2 linked regions of the Tamandua tetradactyla genome follow. The protein of the gene in region 2 purifies or fractionates together with the protein of the main gene of each other region. This does not show direct contact. Links are inferred from orthologs where the notes say so. Each region holds a gene or a part of one and is shown on either strand. Other genes may lie near its edges.

Region 1 (7,325 bases), on a different chromosome or scaffold from region 2:
CAGAATTGACTATTAAACTAGTGATTGCCATTACCAGAAAAGCTCCTGCACCTAACTTCAGCAGAACAGGAAATGTCATCATCTTTCACCCTTTACTTTGGGTATGCTTAAAGACAAACGAAGACAACTTGGGATTCAAGTAATCAACAGCAAGAATATGTCATGTCCTCAAGCCAAAAATCCAAGAGCCTGGGTAAAAATCAAGATTCACCTCATTAAACAAATGAGGGAGTAGTTAAAAACAATTATTTTACAAATAGCTAAACGGGTAGCTGGGCACTCCCTCCACAAACTAAGGCAGGAATTCCAAGCAGGCTGCTCTCTACCCACAATGATGGAGCAAGACTCTTCTGGCAGAAGTTTAAGAAAGACTTTAAGCCTCCACTGAGGTTAAGAACCAGCTTCTAAGAATTTAGAATTCAAACTGAAAAAGTAAGACTATATAAGGCAAGAAAGACCACACACCTCCTGGACCTAAAACCACACAGAAACCACTGATACTCAACCTCGATCCCACCCCATCCACCCCACCCTCCCCACCCAATCCCCTCTGGCTTTGCCCTAGAGAAGGTGGCAATGTTCAGATGCTCTAGAATCCTAGAACTTCTTAGGGATATTTCTATGCATCAAGAGGTGAAATGAAACCAAGTTCGTGCAACTTTCTCTCCAGGATAATCTAGTTTGTGGAGGGATATATTCAGAAACATTTTTAAACATCTTTGAAAATCCTATTCTGTTAAGTCCTGAAAACTAACTACCTTTCCTTCTATGCTTTGTTTTTTTGCTTGTTTGTTTGTTTTGCATGGGCAGGCACCAGAAATCGAACCTGGGTCTCTGGCTTGGCACGCGAGAACTCTGCTGCTGAGACACCGTGGCCTGCCCCCTTTCCTTCTAAAATTATTGTAATATAACTTTCATCAGTTGCAATCTTGATTTGGGAGAGGATGCCTTTTTGCAAAGCTTTCAACAAGCGAAAGAGAAGACAGAAGGTGTCTTACAATCGCCCAAAGCACAAAAGCCTGGAAGCCAATAGACAGGACCTGGTCCCGGCTCTACAGGCCAACTGCCCTGGTCCTTGAAGAAAACCGGAGTCACCTCTCCAGATCTCCGTTCCCGCATCTGGGCCAGCACAGCTGTAGGAGGACTTACACCTCCGAGATTCTATGAGAAATTCTTTCACACACATGAGAATAACAACAATGCCTATTAGAAGCATTTTTTTTACTTCGAAGATTTAGATAGTGACAGATAAGTACAGCAATGGGTATAAGCAAAGATGACAGAACCAAGTCAGACTAAAACTGGAAGATTTAAAACAAGCAAACAGCTAACAGTTGGCGAAGTACATGACCAAAAGGTAGGGGAAATCCTGATATCAACTTACACTTTTAAATGCTTTGGAACCAATGGCAATTACCAGCTGCTTCGCCTGCTAAATTTAACGATAACATAGGGTTTAATCCAGTGACTCCCCACGACCCCCTACAACAGCCTGTAAATACTTAGGGAAACCAAACTGAAAATTTGAATCTAAAAGGCAGAGAAACAAATCATTGCAAAACATTGGGGTAAATCCATTTAAGTAGCAAGATGCTGTCTGGATACTAACCACATGCCACCCACTAGGGAAGTTTGAGAGGTCTGATGATACCAGGAGCTTGAACGTTGCACCGCATGTGTCAAAGACAAGACTGCCTCTCCGCCTACCAGGACCCCAAAACAGTGTTCATTTCCCTATGCGTGAATAAATGGTGGTCGGGAGGGAAATAAGCAAGCTTTTTTTTTCTTTCCTCGTGGAATAATTACAAAATCTTGTCATGCAACTTGAACGCCTCTGTCAATTTCCTAATAGTAACAGAGTTCACAAAGGTGTGGTGCTTCCATACCACAGACTTGCCCAAAAGAGAAGGGCCCAGGTTGAGCAAACCCCACCTTTCCAAGCCGGGACTCCAGAGCTGCCCTGTGTTTCAGCGAGGAAAGCAACAAAGCTGATGAACACTGATAGAGGGTAGATCATCGCCTGCCAGTGTAGTCCCTGACCGGACTTCACCTTCTCCTCTTCCCGGAGAGACCGGCCAGAGCCAAGAGCACGGTCTCCGAGGGTCCCCATCGCGTACACACGCAAGCACCCGCAGCCTCTGGGTGGCTAAAGAGGAAGTCAGGATGTCATGTCAAACGAATAAAGACAGCCTGGCTACACAAGAGACGCGGTCTGGGTCAGTCCCTGCTTGGCTCGGGAGGCGTCCCAGGCTGTGGTCCTTGCTGCCTCTCCCTCTACCTTCCTCCGTCCGGATGCGCGGACGAGCCTCCCCTCGACAGGCACCGGCTGGCGGGACCCACGCTGCAGAGCACAGCTGGAGCCCTAGTAGCACCTCCAGCCACCCCTCCCTCTCCCCCCCCCCCCCAGCCGAGGCCCGCTTACAGTACCCCCCCCCCTCCCCAAGCACACACTCCGCGCACCCCCTGCACTCCGCACACCCACGCCCTGGCTCTGTCCACCCGCCGAGCTCCTTCCCCGGCCCCGGAGCGCGCGGCCGGCAGCGATCCCAGCGCGCAGTTCCGACCGCCCAGGGTGGGGAGCGGCGCAGGGGTGCAGAGCCGCCGCCGCCGCAGGGTTTCGGAGACAGCCCGCGGGCCGCACGCACTCCTCCCCTCAGCCGGGAGTAAACAGCTCGCGGGAGCGCTCCCCGCCGCGCCCCCATCCCCCAGCCAGGGCTCCGCGCCGCCCCGCGCCCGCGCGTCCCGCCCGCCGGCGCCGCCGCCCCCTACCTGGTCGGTGAGTTTGAGCACTGCCATTCTTCCGCTCCTTCGCGCACACACACATACAGGTCCCCGGTCCCGAGATGTCAAGCCTGGAGCCGGGGAAGCGGAAGGGACTGCCAGGGGAAGGGAAACAAATCTGGCTCCCGAATTTGACAGCCCTCCCCCTGCTCCTCCTCCGCCGCCGCCTCCTCCCGCCGAGAGGCTGACACTGGCTAGTGGTGTTTGCAGCGGAGCCCGCCCGTCTTTATACAGAAAGTACCGGGCCGCCACTGACATCACCGCGCGCCGGCTCGCTCGCGGCCGCGCCGGCTGAGCCGACGCTGCCTCCTGCTGCCCGCAGCCGCGCCTCGCAGCCCCGCGGTCCCCGGCGGTCCCAGGCAGTCGCCGGCGCCTGCACCCCGCGCTCCGCGGGGGGGCCGAGATGCCTCTGCTTTCCGCACTCACACACTGCGCCCCGGAGCCCGGCCAGGGCCCTGGGGTCTCCCTCGTGGTCCCCCGCGGACCAGGGTGCTCACGGTTAGAGGTCCCCCCCCCACGGCGACCTGGGACTGATCTGGGGTCCATTCTCGTCCGGTCAGACACACACAGGCACCACCTGAGGGACAAGCCCATGTGGACACACCAGGAGACAAAAAGGCTGTCACTCACACGTCACCAAATTTAACTTAGGCCTCTCCGGAATCAGGTTGTCCGAGAGCACTCCAAATTATCCACCTCGGTCAGGTCCCCAAGTCTGATGCTCTCTTTATTTGATGGTCGTGGTCTCTGGACGCGTAATTTTTTAATGAGAAAGTCAGCTGTGCCGTATTTCTCAAACATTGGGGGGGGGGGGGGCGGTGCAGAGAAGCTCTGGCAATTTACCTTGTTCTCCAGCCATCTTTCAGGTAGGCACCGCACATGCACACACACCCCTGTTAAGTTCAAACACCCTGGGTTTGTTTTGCGGGGAGTCAAGGTGGAATGAAGTTACTGAAGAAGCACAGGAGGTATAAATTATGGAGTCTTTAGGGTGTTTCCACCAGTCCTGACTGAAGCATTTCCACAAAATCCAAAATTACCATCCTCTTCAACCTATAGAAGACTTAGTTGTCAAGCAGCACCAGATACAAATTCAATGACGATATTTATCATCATAGTAAGTGTTGATACTTCTGGAATTTGAAGCAAACATTTATCAAACAGCTATATAAACTTTGCACCGAATGCCTACCTTGGGCCAAGTACCTTGGTGGGCACAAAAAGAAACAGGAACATAAATAGACAAGACACCTAGTGTCTTGGGTGCCCAACATAAGCCACATGGTTACATTAATAAATGTAATTACAAAGTGAGATAAGGGATCACAGGGAGGAAAAATATTTCTGAAGGAACCCTTTCAAGTGAATCTGACCAGACTGGTGGGAGAGGGCAGATTTCCCTAAGAAAGTGACAGGACTTGAGATCTCTGGGAAGAGAAGGTGTTAAGTACTCAAGGTGGGATTCTGCTCACAGGCCGCCCCATGTGCCTCTGACAGCTCATCACAGGGCAAGCCTACAGAGCAGCACTGACCCACTGAACAGACCTAAGAGTTCCTGGGTCAAGACTGTGCATCTACCATTTATTCAAAGACCAAGTGTGTATTCTGCCCTTTAGGTTTCTTCTTCCCTGCTTTCTGAGCCTCCCCCCAAATTCCATGTGAGAAAGGGAAAAAGGGACTGGGAACATTCACTTTGTATCCTCCCATTTATCATCTAGCCACTCAGATTGGTAAAGCAGATAAGTCACAAATATACTCTTACTAGTCTGATGAGATGTGATTGAGACCATGAAGACCAGGGGAACTGAGGAAGCACTCTCCTGGCTTCCCCTCTCCTGTCATCAATGATGAAATGATGGGCAGATTTCTGAGCTATTCCTTGATCTTTGTAACAGTAAAGAAATTGAGGTATGGGGCTTAAAACCTGACTTGAGCCAACAAAAATGAAAAGTCATCTTTCTCATCTATTTTTCATACCTATGCCAGTCCATGGACACAGAGCCCCTTAATAGAAGGGGACACTGGTCCACTTGAAGAAGGTCTTTCCAGCATTGGCATTGTTGCCAGACAAAGGAGGTGGATTCTTTTGCCTAAAACCCTCAATGACCAAGTCCTGAGACACTGGAGTTTCAAAGAGAGAAAAAGTTTAGTACTAGGTGCGTAGCAGGACAGCAGATGGCCTGTTGGCCCAAAACTGTCTCTCCAAACTGCAGTAATTATGATAGTTTTCTAGAATCAAAAGATGGGCAGGGTTTAGGGTAATGTACATAGTCACCCTAGCTGATGCAATTAGAGGTGATCTAATTATTGAGTACGTGCAGATTGATTACATGCCTGGTCACAGAATATATGTAAGAAAACGGCGGCCTTAATATGATAATGGCCATGATTTTTAATATCATAATGAGGTATAGGTGACTTGTAAGTTAAAATCTAAGTTACTGCACATTGTCAGGGGGCCCACTTTGGTTACATCCAGTCTCAGTTATCAAGATAACTTTGGGGTTGGGGTGGGTTAGTTCTGGACTGACCCAAGACCCTTCATTAATAAACCTTAGGGGTATAGTGATTACAAGACTCTAAAGTTGAAAAACTGGATAAATGGATACAAATAAAGGTTAGTCACAAGGTTTGTACAATCACAGGGAAAGAAGATAAAGGCTATACAATCATTACCAGATCAAGGCAGCTAGTTTACAATTCAGAGATTTCAGGTATTTCCCTCTGTCTACTCTAGTATACCAGAAAGCAAAAAGGAATATCTATATAATGACTTAGTAATCAAAATCATCCCTTAAATCCTATTGTCTTGGTTACAGCAGTGCCATAAATATATATTATAAGTCATCATCAAACCTTCCCTAAAGGGACCTGATACAATTTACTAGAGTGACTGTGTCCTGGGGAAAAGAAATACCCAGGTATTTCAGGGACTACTAGACACTGGTACTTACTACATGATCATTCCTGAGGATCCAAGTGTCACTGGATCCACCAATCAAAGTGGAGACTTATGGTGGTATGGTGGTTTGAAGTTGTATGTATCCCAGGAAAACATGTTCTCAAATTTAATCCATTCCTGTGGGTGTGAAACCATTGTAAGTAGGACCTTTTGATGAGGTATACTTAAGGTATGACCCACCTCAATCAGTATGGGTCTTAATGCTATTACTGGAGTCCTCATAAATGGAATGAAATTCAGAAGAAGGGAAAGCTACAGGAAGCAAAAGCTGAAACGGAACCCAGAAGAGAAGGAAGAGACCAGGGAACAATGCTATGTGCCTTGCCACGTGACAAGCTAAGAACCCCAGAATCAGTGGCAGTCAGCCCCAGAAAGTCAGTCTTCTGGGAGAAAACACCACCTTATGATGCCTTGATTTGACATTTTCCCAGCCTCAAAACCATGAGCAAATAATTCTCATTGTTTAACATGACCCATTTCATGGTATTACTTAAGGAGTCTAGGAAACTAAAACAGGCTGTCAGGTGATCAGTGGAGTTTTCAACCAAGACAAATTCACAGAGGATCCAGTCAGTCCACAGAGCCACCCTGCAATTATTTCCTTACTTCTTGACTATACAGTTAGAATAGATATAATAACTGGCAGAATCCCTATATTACTTCTCTGACCCTTAGCGTGAAGACTATGGCAGTATTATAGGCTGAGTAGAAGCCTCTGGAATTTCCTTTTTCTACAGGAGCAGAAAATCAAAAGCAATAGCACATCTCAGGAAGGATGTAAAGAGCAGTATGACCATAAATGTTGTGGAAAATGCAGGGCTGGTGATACTATCACATCCCCATTTAGCTCACAGTTTGAGCTATGCTAAAGGCAGACGGATCTTAAAGAGTAACTATGAATTATTGTAAATTTATCAGATGGTAACCCCAACTGCAACTGCTATTCTATGTGTACTATCTTTACTGCAGCAAATATACACAGCCCTAAGTAACTGGTATGTATCTATTTATGTAGCAAATGCTTTTTTATCTTTTCCAATTTGTACCACAAGCCATTTTCTTTCATATGACAATGCCAACAGTACACATTCACAGTCTTGCCTATGGGATGTAAACTCTCTTTGCCATAATCTAGTCTGCAGAAATCTTGACCACTATATTAAAGACAGCTTCCTGATTAAGTTCTATTAGTAATGAATTGGAAATAGTTAAATTCCTTAACAAGATACATGTGAGCCAGAAGATAGGCTATAAACCCCAAGAAAATTCACCACCTTCAGTAAAGTTTCTGGAAGTCCAGGGCTGGAAGATGTCAGGAAATCCCCTTCAAGATGAAAGACAAATTGCTGTGCTTTGTGCCAACTACCATGGAAAAAGAGACATGATACATATTGGACCTCTTTGGATTTGAAAAGCTGTATATATCACATATGCGTGTCTTACTCTGACCCATTTACTGAGCAAACTATAAGGCCAGAATTTTTATTAGTAATAAGAGAAAAAGAGTACTCTATAGTAAGGTTGTATGACTTGGAGGAATCCAGTGGTCCTTGAAGTCCATGGCAAATAGGGAGTGTATTGG
Region 2 (7,840 bases):
AAAAAGTCGACTGTGATGATAAAAAAATATTTAAGCCCTCCTCTACACACTGGAGCAGCTAGAAGGAAAAAGGATCGTATAGCAGCCCATGACAAACTCTGCAATCTGTCCTGTAACTATTTGTTGAAGAGTGCTTTGAAAACTTATTGCTTTTTTCTTTCTTTTGCTTTATATATATTTTATACTATACAATCTAAAAAGTGAAAAAAAAAATGAAGGAGGAATTAAGACATTCCCAGATAAACAAAAGCTGAGGGACTTCATCAATACTAGACAGGGGAATTCTACTGGGGGAAAAGACACTAGACAACTGACTGAAGTCATAGGAAGAAATAAAAATCTCCTGTGAGGGTAACGAGGTAAGTAACTAGAAACACCAATACTGTTCTATTTTTTATTTGTAACTCCACTTTTAACTTCCTACAGGATCTAAAAGCCAAATGCCTAAAGTTTAATAAATCAATGGTTTTGATCTCAATGTATAAATAAGTAATTTGTGACAAAATGACATAAAGGTGGGGGAATGGAGGGGTATAGGAACATAGTCTGTGTACACTATTGAAGCTAAACTGGTGTCAATGCAAACAGGATAGTTACAGGTTTACGATGTTAAATTTAAGCCCACGATAACCACACTGAAAACATCAGAGAATATGCAAACTCATAGAGACAAAAAGTAGAGTACAATTTACCAGGGGAGGGTGAAGAGGCAATGGGGAGTTAACGGAAAATGAGTGTAGGGTTTCTGTTTGAGGCGAAAAGGAAGGTCCAGTTATGGATGGAGGGGAAGGTACTGCAACATTGTGAAGGTGACTATTCACACTCTACAGTGTGCTGGGATGGGAGGATCTACGGTATCTATGTGTGTTATATATATCCACAATTAAGAAAAAGAGAAAGTTAAACCAAAGAGATAATGACAATTAAATGCAATACATGATTCTGGATGGGATCTAAGAACAGAGGAGAAAAAGGATCAAAAGGACACTGAGATGTAAGGACAAAAAAAGGAATACAGAACGTAAGCTCTATAGCAGTTTTACGTTTCTTGAATGGGATAACTGCGCTTATGGTGGTTACATAAGTGAACATCCTTGTTCTTAGGAAATGCGCATGACAGTTTTATGTATCCAAGGAGCAGGCGGGCAATCCTGATCTCAACTATCCAGAGAATAGATACATAATCGAGAGAGAGATAACAGAATGATATGGCAAAGGTGGCCAAATGTTAAAATTGGTAGATCTGGGTATCTGGAGGGTGGGGGGGTATGCTGGAGTTCCTGTATAGCGTTTGTATTATTTTTGCAATTGTTCTGTAAATTTGAAATTATTTCAAAATAAAGTTAAGATACATTTAAAAATAAAATGTTTTAGGTGGTAGTGAAAAAAGAAAGACAAAAGCAAATCAAAATACACAAGAATTCACACATCCACACAGCCACTCACTGGAAGCAACAGGACAGTCCAGCCCGAACCAAGCACCATCCAAACAGCCTTCAGGGTCTCTGCACCTGAGCCCCAGGGACGTTTGGGCTGAGTGCTCCTTTGCTGGGGGGTCATCCTGTGCGTTGCAGGACGGGAGCAGCATTCCCGGTTTCTACCCACCAGCGCCAACAGCGCCCTCATGCGGCAAACAAACGTCTCCAGGTATGGCCAGGTGTCCCCAGAGGAGTAGAGCGACCCCAGCTGAGAACAGATGCCATAGGTGATGCCAAGGCAAATGTAATAACCTAACAACTCCGGATTCCTTTCACTTACTGGGCCCTGCATTCTGCCCAGGGCATCCACAAACATGGAACTGATCCACAGAACAACCCTGAGAGGAGGGCCCTCCGTTACCGCCATTCTCCAGATGACAGCTCCTGAGTAACTTGTCCAAGGTCTCACCACCAGACAGCAGAGCTGGGACTCAAACCTAGGTCTGATGAAAAAACATCTCGCTCTAAACCAATGGCCTTCACTGCCTCCCAAAGGTGCCATAAAACACCCAAAATCGAGTCACATGGCCTCATTTAACAGACACAAAATGATGCACATTAGGAAAAAATTAAAAAACAAAAAAACAGAGCATAACTTTTTTAAAATGCAACCAATTCCCACTGCCATTCCCCTCAGTGTCTGTCTCTGGGTGTGGTGGCCTCTGAGACCTGGGTACAGTATTCTACAGAATATGGATGTAAACCACACAGGCTGGATTTTCCAGGCAACTGTGAGTCACTGCAATGTTCACCCTGTGTGCTGGTGATCTGAACCTTACCTGGAGTTGGACAAACTCCCCGCGGAGTCTTCACAGCTCTGAACCCACTATACCACATCTGAAAGCATCTTCCTTTCCAGAAACATCTTGCTTTTTGGGCCAGTGTCAGGGCAACGACTGTGTCCTCAGTGCAGATGTTCAGTGCGTGTCTGTGTGTAAATGCATGTGTGTATGTATGTGCACGTGTCTGTGTGTATATGTATCTACACACACGTATGTGTGTAAAAGAGCTAGCCAGAAACACCCCTACACAGAAAGTCCCACTCAAGGCTCCAGCTTTGACCACTCCCTCCCAACACGTCTGCACTCCAGTGGAGCCGCCCAGTGCTGAACCCCCAACTTGCCCACCTTCACATATCTGCACACGCTGTTCCTTCCACCAGGAATGCCCTTCCTCCCACTCTCCATCTGTCAACTCCAACTCATCCTTCCTAGATAGAGAGAGCCACCGGCCCCGCCAGTCTCCCGGTCCCCAATCTTCTCAGCCTCCTGCGGCACCCTGAGTTACCTCTATCTCAATACCTCATAGCAATTGTGACTGTCCAGCTCTGCCTGTATCTCCCCAGGGACACAGCCCCCTCCAGGGCAGGGCTGGGCAGGATACCTCCCTCTGTGCCCAGCATGAAGCACCTGCCCTGCCCTCGGCAGGCCTCGTCTCACAGACTTGGAACCAGGACTTGGACACCTCCAGACAATCCCAGGTCCTAAACCTCTCCTCCCAAGGAGAAGCCAGAGGCAGCCAGGGGCAGCGGACCCACAGGAAGGGAGAAGGGAAACCCCCGTTCCCCTATCTCCCCAACCCAAGGGTCAGGCAGAGGGCAAACGAGTCCAAGAAGGCAGGAAACAGGGAAGGGTGGGGGTAAGGCAGAGATGGGGGGCAGGAGGAAGAGATGAGGGGGGAAGGGGGAAGAGGGGACTGAGAAGAAAAACACCGTAATAACAGATGAAGGTGCAAAACGGAGGGACTCTTGGGGGGAAGGGGAGGAGCGAGGAGAAAGAGACTGCCGGGGTAAAGCCAAAGGTGGAAGAGAGTGGCGGGTAGGCCGAGGCTACTCTCTAGACTTGGGGGGGGAAGTGATGAGGAGGCGTCCAGGGGAAGAGGGAAGGATTCCAGGGAACAAAGGTGGGGGTGGACCCGAAAGGGAGAAGACTGGGACCCGCGAAGGGTACTTAGGTGGGGCTCGAGGGGGTCCTGGGGGTGGACTGGGCTCTGGAAAAAGGTCCCGGGCTGGGCCGGCTCACCTGCGTGGGGGGGCGGCGGCTCCTCGCACTCGGGGCTCATCGGGGCGCCCCCCTCGCCCCGCCGCCGGCGGCTCCGGCCCCCGCTCAGGGGCCCGGTATGTGGGGGCGGGGGGCGACGTCGGGGTCTCGCGCAGGCACCCTCGGGTCAAAGGGGGACCCCGCGCGCCGAGCGCCGCAGAGTTGCGGGCTGAGCGCAGGCGAGGGGGAAGGACGCGGGGGTCGAGGGCGCGGGGCGGGGGGTTGGCCGGGCCGCGAGGACCCGCGCAGGGGCCTCGGCGGGGCGCGGGGGAAGTCGCCCCAGTCGCTCCGGTCTCCCCGGCCCAGGCCGGCGCCCCGCGGAAACGAAGAGGGCGGGCGGGGAAAACGTCGCCCTCCGGAGTCCCTACAAGCCGCAGAGCCGAGCAGCGGCCAGCGGAAGCCCAGGCCCGCTTCCTTCAGCCGCCCCTTCCCCAAACCGACGGGTCCCGGGAGCCTACTGTCCGCCTCAGGCCTCCGACGCCCGACGCCACGATCCCACAATCCCCTGCGCCGGAGCGCGCAGGACGCCCCGCCTGCCCGCGGCCCTCTCGGTGCGCAGGTGCGGCGGGGCAGCGCGGGCGGATCCTGCAGCCCGCGTGCGCGCGAGGCCCCGGCTCCCCTACCCCGCCCACCCGGAACACCGTCGCGACTGCCTGCGCTTCCTTAAGCCGGGGCTTTGGATCTGCGCCTGCGCCTGCGCCGGCTCGTGCCAACTGTCTCTCCCCAAGTCAACCCAGACGGAGGAATGCGCAGGCGCCGCTGCCCTTCCGGGAGCCAGTTCTACGACTTCATTCCGAAATCCAGTGGAAACCCTGTTCCGGGTTTTCTCTTCCCTCCGGCTCCATTGGGAAGCCCCTTCACCTTTCTCGGTCTTCTGCCGGGAAATCCACTCCGGGTGTTCCCTCATGGCCTCCACCCGCCGCCGCCGCGCCTCGGTCCAGGCGGTGCCTGGCTGTTGCCCGCTGCTGCAAAGACTTCTGGAGCAACATCGACTGCGCGGGCCTCCTAGGCTTAGGGTCAGTGTCCTTTAAGGTCCTGTCTGGCTCCGAGCCTCAGTTTCCCCAGTTGTAATAGAGACAATTAGCCCCGTCCTGCCCACTTAGCAGCTCACTGTAAGCATCAAATGAATAAATGCACTTAAGGACTTAACCCTTTTCTATAAATCTGCATTTTGGGGACATTTTTTGTATTTTATGCATTTTAGTTATTGATTCAGTTTTTCGTTTTTTTTTCAAGAATGCCGGTTATGCATTTGTATTTCACACGCGTTAGCTGGTAATTGCTTTAATCTTTGTCATTTTCATCTGCCTTCACTGTCACTACTATGTCAGTCCTTTGTTTTGCTTTTTTTTAAAGTGGTTTAAAATAACATTTATTATCTTACGTTCTGGAGCTCAGAAGTCCACCATGGGTCTCCAGTGACTCGAGGTGACCGCAGGGCGCATTCCCTACTTGAGGCTTTGGGGGAGAATCCACCTCCTGGCCTTCTCCGGGTTCCAAAAGCCACCTGCATTCCTTGGGTTGAAGCCCCACCCCCATCTTCAAAATCAGAGATGTTGGGCTCAGTTCTTCTCACATTGCCACCTCTCTGGTTCTGTCATTTGACTTTCCAGCCATGTCCCCTTTGGTCCTTGCTATTTCTGGTATGTTTATCACACATGATGTTGTTTTCTCCTTGTATTAGTTAGCTAACGCTGCATGACAACCACAACCTTGGTGGTATTTATTACATTCACAGATGGGACCAAAGGGCTGTCCAAGGTTCCTTTTCAGGAGAGGCAGGAGCCCAAGAGATCAAGCCCAGCTGGAAGCACATTTCACATCTCCCTTTGCCTCACATCTGCCACCATCACTGATCAAAGCAAATCACCTGGCCAAGCCCAAGAAGTATGGGCTGGTGGGCTCCACGTGCCATAGGCAGGGAATGTACTTTTCCCACGAAGGTGGGAGGGGAGGGGGTGAATCTCTGGTGAAAAATCTAACTTACCAGAACTTTAGTTTACTTCCTTGGGTTTGCCATTGTTCCTTTTTTCATCTTTTTTTAAAAATATTTTAAAGGCCTTGTTTCAATAGACCCATGTTCTGATTGCTACACTCTTGAAGCAATTGTGAAGAAATTCCTTCTGTCCTTTGAATCATTTTTTCTTTTGTGTTGCACTCTTCTGTCTTTTACCTATCATTTTCCTTGCTTTTTTCCCTACATATGATTACACAGTTGCCACAGTTTTAACACCCAGGCTCAGGCCATATTCAACCACCAAACAGATGCTGAGGCACCGAGTCTGCCCAACCCAGGAAGCTCCAGGGGCTTTACTGTCTGAAATCTGGGTCTCAGCTCCTGTCAGAACTCACAGGAAGATGTTATTTGCCTAAGAATTGGAGGGAACTTTTAAAACAACAAAAGAGCCCAGGGCTCGGTGTGGGGGACCCCCCACCAGTGGCTCTCTCCTGGCATGTCTCTGCCCCCCTCCCCCCCAGGCTGGGGTCAGCCCTCCAACTTCCTGTCCTCTTGGAGACAGGCTGGCCCCAGAACTCCTGTCCCCTGGCCTCCACTCTGCCACCCATGGGAAGGCTGCTGCTTGCCCAGGGCTGCCTGAGGCAGAAGTGCTGGTCTAATGCTGGTGCAGAGTAGAAGCAACACTCCTCAGCTATGATGTAAATGGCTCAAAAATAAACGAGATGACATTGGATCTCCAACTCTCTGTTCCCACAGCTGCCTCGATTTGTTCTGAATTTGAGAATGGAAGAGAACTGAAATTAACTAAGCCCTCTAAAATCCCAAAAGTATGAGGCAAGTGCTGTATATGCAAAAGTAATGACCTGGCATCAGATGGGGCCAGGAAGCGAGGGCACTGGGGAGGAGCAGGGCTTTGGGATGAGTCCTAGGTTGGAATCCTGGATGCAAGATTCTCGGACTCTGCTTCCTGCAGCAGGGCCCTTAGTTGCATCAACAGAAACCTACTTTAGGCAAACAGAAAAGGCAGACAGACCCCCAGATCTCAGAGCAGGTGGAGTTGGGCTTGGCACTTTGCAGCTGGGACACGCAGCAGCCTTGCCTCCACGGGGGGCCTGGGCAGGGACTCGACTGCCCGCCCCTCCACCCTGCCTCAAGGGCCGTGGACTCTGGACAAGCGTCCTTTCCAGGCAGCAGCTGCCGGCGGCAGACCTGTACAGGAGGCTCTGATGCTGGGGGAAAAAACACCTGACCTTAGGAGGCCTGGAAGCCGAAGGTGGGAATTCCCGAAACATAAGAGAATTCAGAGAAGTTGGGGGGCAGGGAGAAGGTTAGATGTGCCTGCACCCCATCCCAGAGAGGCTGGAAAGGTGAAGTGAGGCAATGGCTCTGTGGGTGGTAGGAGTAAGAGTTTTATTACCCCAAGCTCCCGAGGCGGCCTTCCTCCCCTCCCTCCCCAGTCTCTCAGGCCCCGGCCCGCACCTCGCCCCTCCACCACTACGCACCCAGAGGAGGTGACAAAGTGGCAGTGGGAGAGGAGCCCCGTCTCTGCTGGAAGAGCAGTGTGGACAAGAGGCTCGGGGTGGGGGGGATGAGCCTGAAAGCAGGAGGTGGGGCCCCTGGAGCCCGGTCCTTTCTCAGCACCCCTCCAGGGGGCTGAGCAGAGACAGGCTGACAGCCCCAGGCTCAGCCCCCTCCCCCCCATAAGGGCCCTGCTCTCTCTTGGGAGAGGGCCCCGGGATGGGGAGGGAAGCAGGAGGCCTGGGCTCCCATGTGGAAGGGGGCCACCACGTTTTCACCGATCCATGCTGTCGTCCGTTGGGGTTGAAAAACAGACCTGTAGCAGCTTTTCACAGAATTCCAGCTCCTCCTGGATCAGGGGTGAGAGCAGAAGGCTCTGAGTGCAGAGGCCAGACCCTGCCTGCAGCAAGCTCTACACCCACAGGCGTCTCCCCTCCCAGCCACCAGCCCGCCCACACTCCCCACCCCACCCGGCCCCTCTGGTGTGTGATCCTCAGCTCACAGTTTCTCCCTCGCCTCCCTCTGGGCTGCTGAACTCACCTGGGAGGTCTTCCAGTCTCCTGTCCCCTCACCCCACATCAGCCCCCTTGGCTCCTTCTAACTCCTAGATATGACCCCATCACTCCCTGCTCAAAGCCCTCCCGTGGCTGATAACAGGACCCAGAAAGCAAGGAAACACCTAAAAGCATCTGCATGGCAAAAAGATGCCACAACACAGGTTACGATTAACACTACAGATATAAATAAGATTTCATGAAGTAGTACAATTGTACAACACATTTAACCCATTACTTACAAGGAGTTAATAAGAGAGTGGTATAAGGGAAAAAAACACCTCCTGCAAACTA

Evidence for each region.
Region 1: the proteins of PPP6R1 (region 2) and ANKRD44 purify together in Homo sapiens (co-immunoprecipitation; 5 studies listed by BioGRID and IntAct, counting the BioPlex papers as one, with this or other methods). This does not show direct contact. The link is inferred for Tamandua tetradactyla from reciprocal best matches to the Homo sapiens genes PPP6R1 and ANKRD44.

Annotation. Positions count from the first base shown.
Region 1 is NC_135329.1:171,505,735-171,513,059, forward strand, and holds the start of ANKRD44 (serine/threonine-protein phosphatase 6 regulatory ankyrin repeat subunit B), read right to left. Parts: upstream 3,020-7,325; 5' UTR 2,797-3,019; coding exon 2,770-2,796; intron 1-2,769. UniProt on the Homo sapiens protein: Putative regulatory subunit of protein phosphatase 6 (PP6) that may be involved in the recognition of phosphoprotein substrates.
Region 2 is NC_135342.1:4,459,235-4,467,074, reverse strand, and holds the start of PPP6R1 (serine/threonine-protein phosphatase 6 regulatory subunit 1), read right to left. Parts: upstream 3,047-7,840; 5' UTR 2,666-3,046; coding exon 2,606-2,665; intron 2,407-2,605; exon of another isoform or gene 2,258-2,406; intron 1,922-2,257; exon of another isoform or gene 1,846-1,921; coding exon of another isoform or gene 1,840-1,845; intron 1-1,839. Other genes in the region: HSPBP1 (hsp70-binding protein 1), read right to left, coding at 7,267-7,341. UniProt on the Homo sapiens protein: Regulatory subunit of protein phosphatase 6 (PP6). May function as a scaffolding PP6 subunit. Involved in the PP6-mediated dephosphorylation of NFKBIE opposing its degradation in response to TNF-alpha.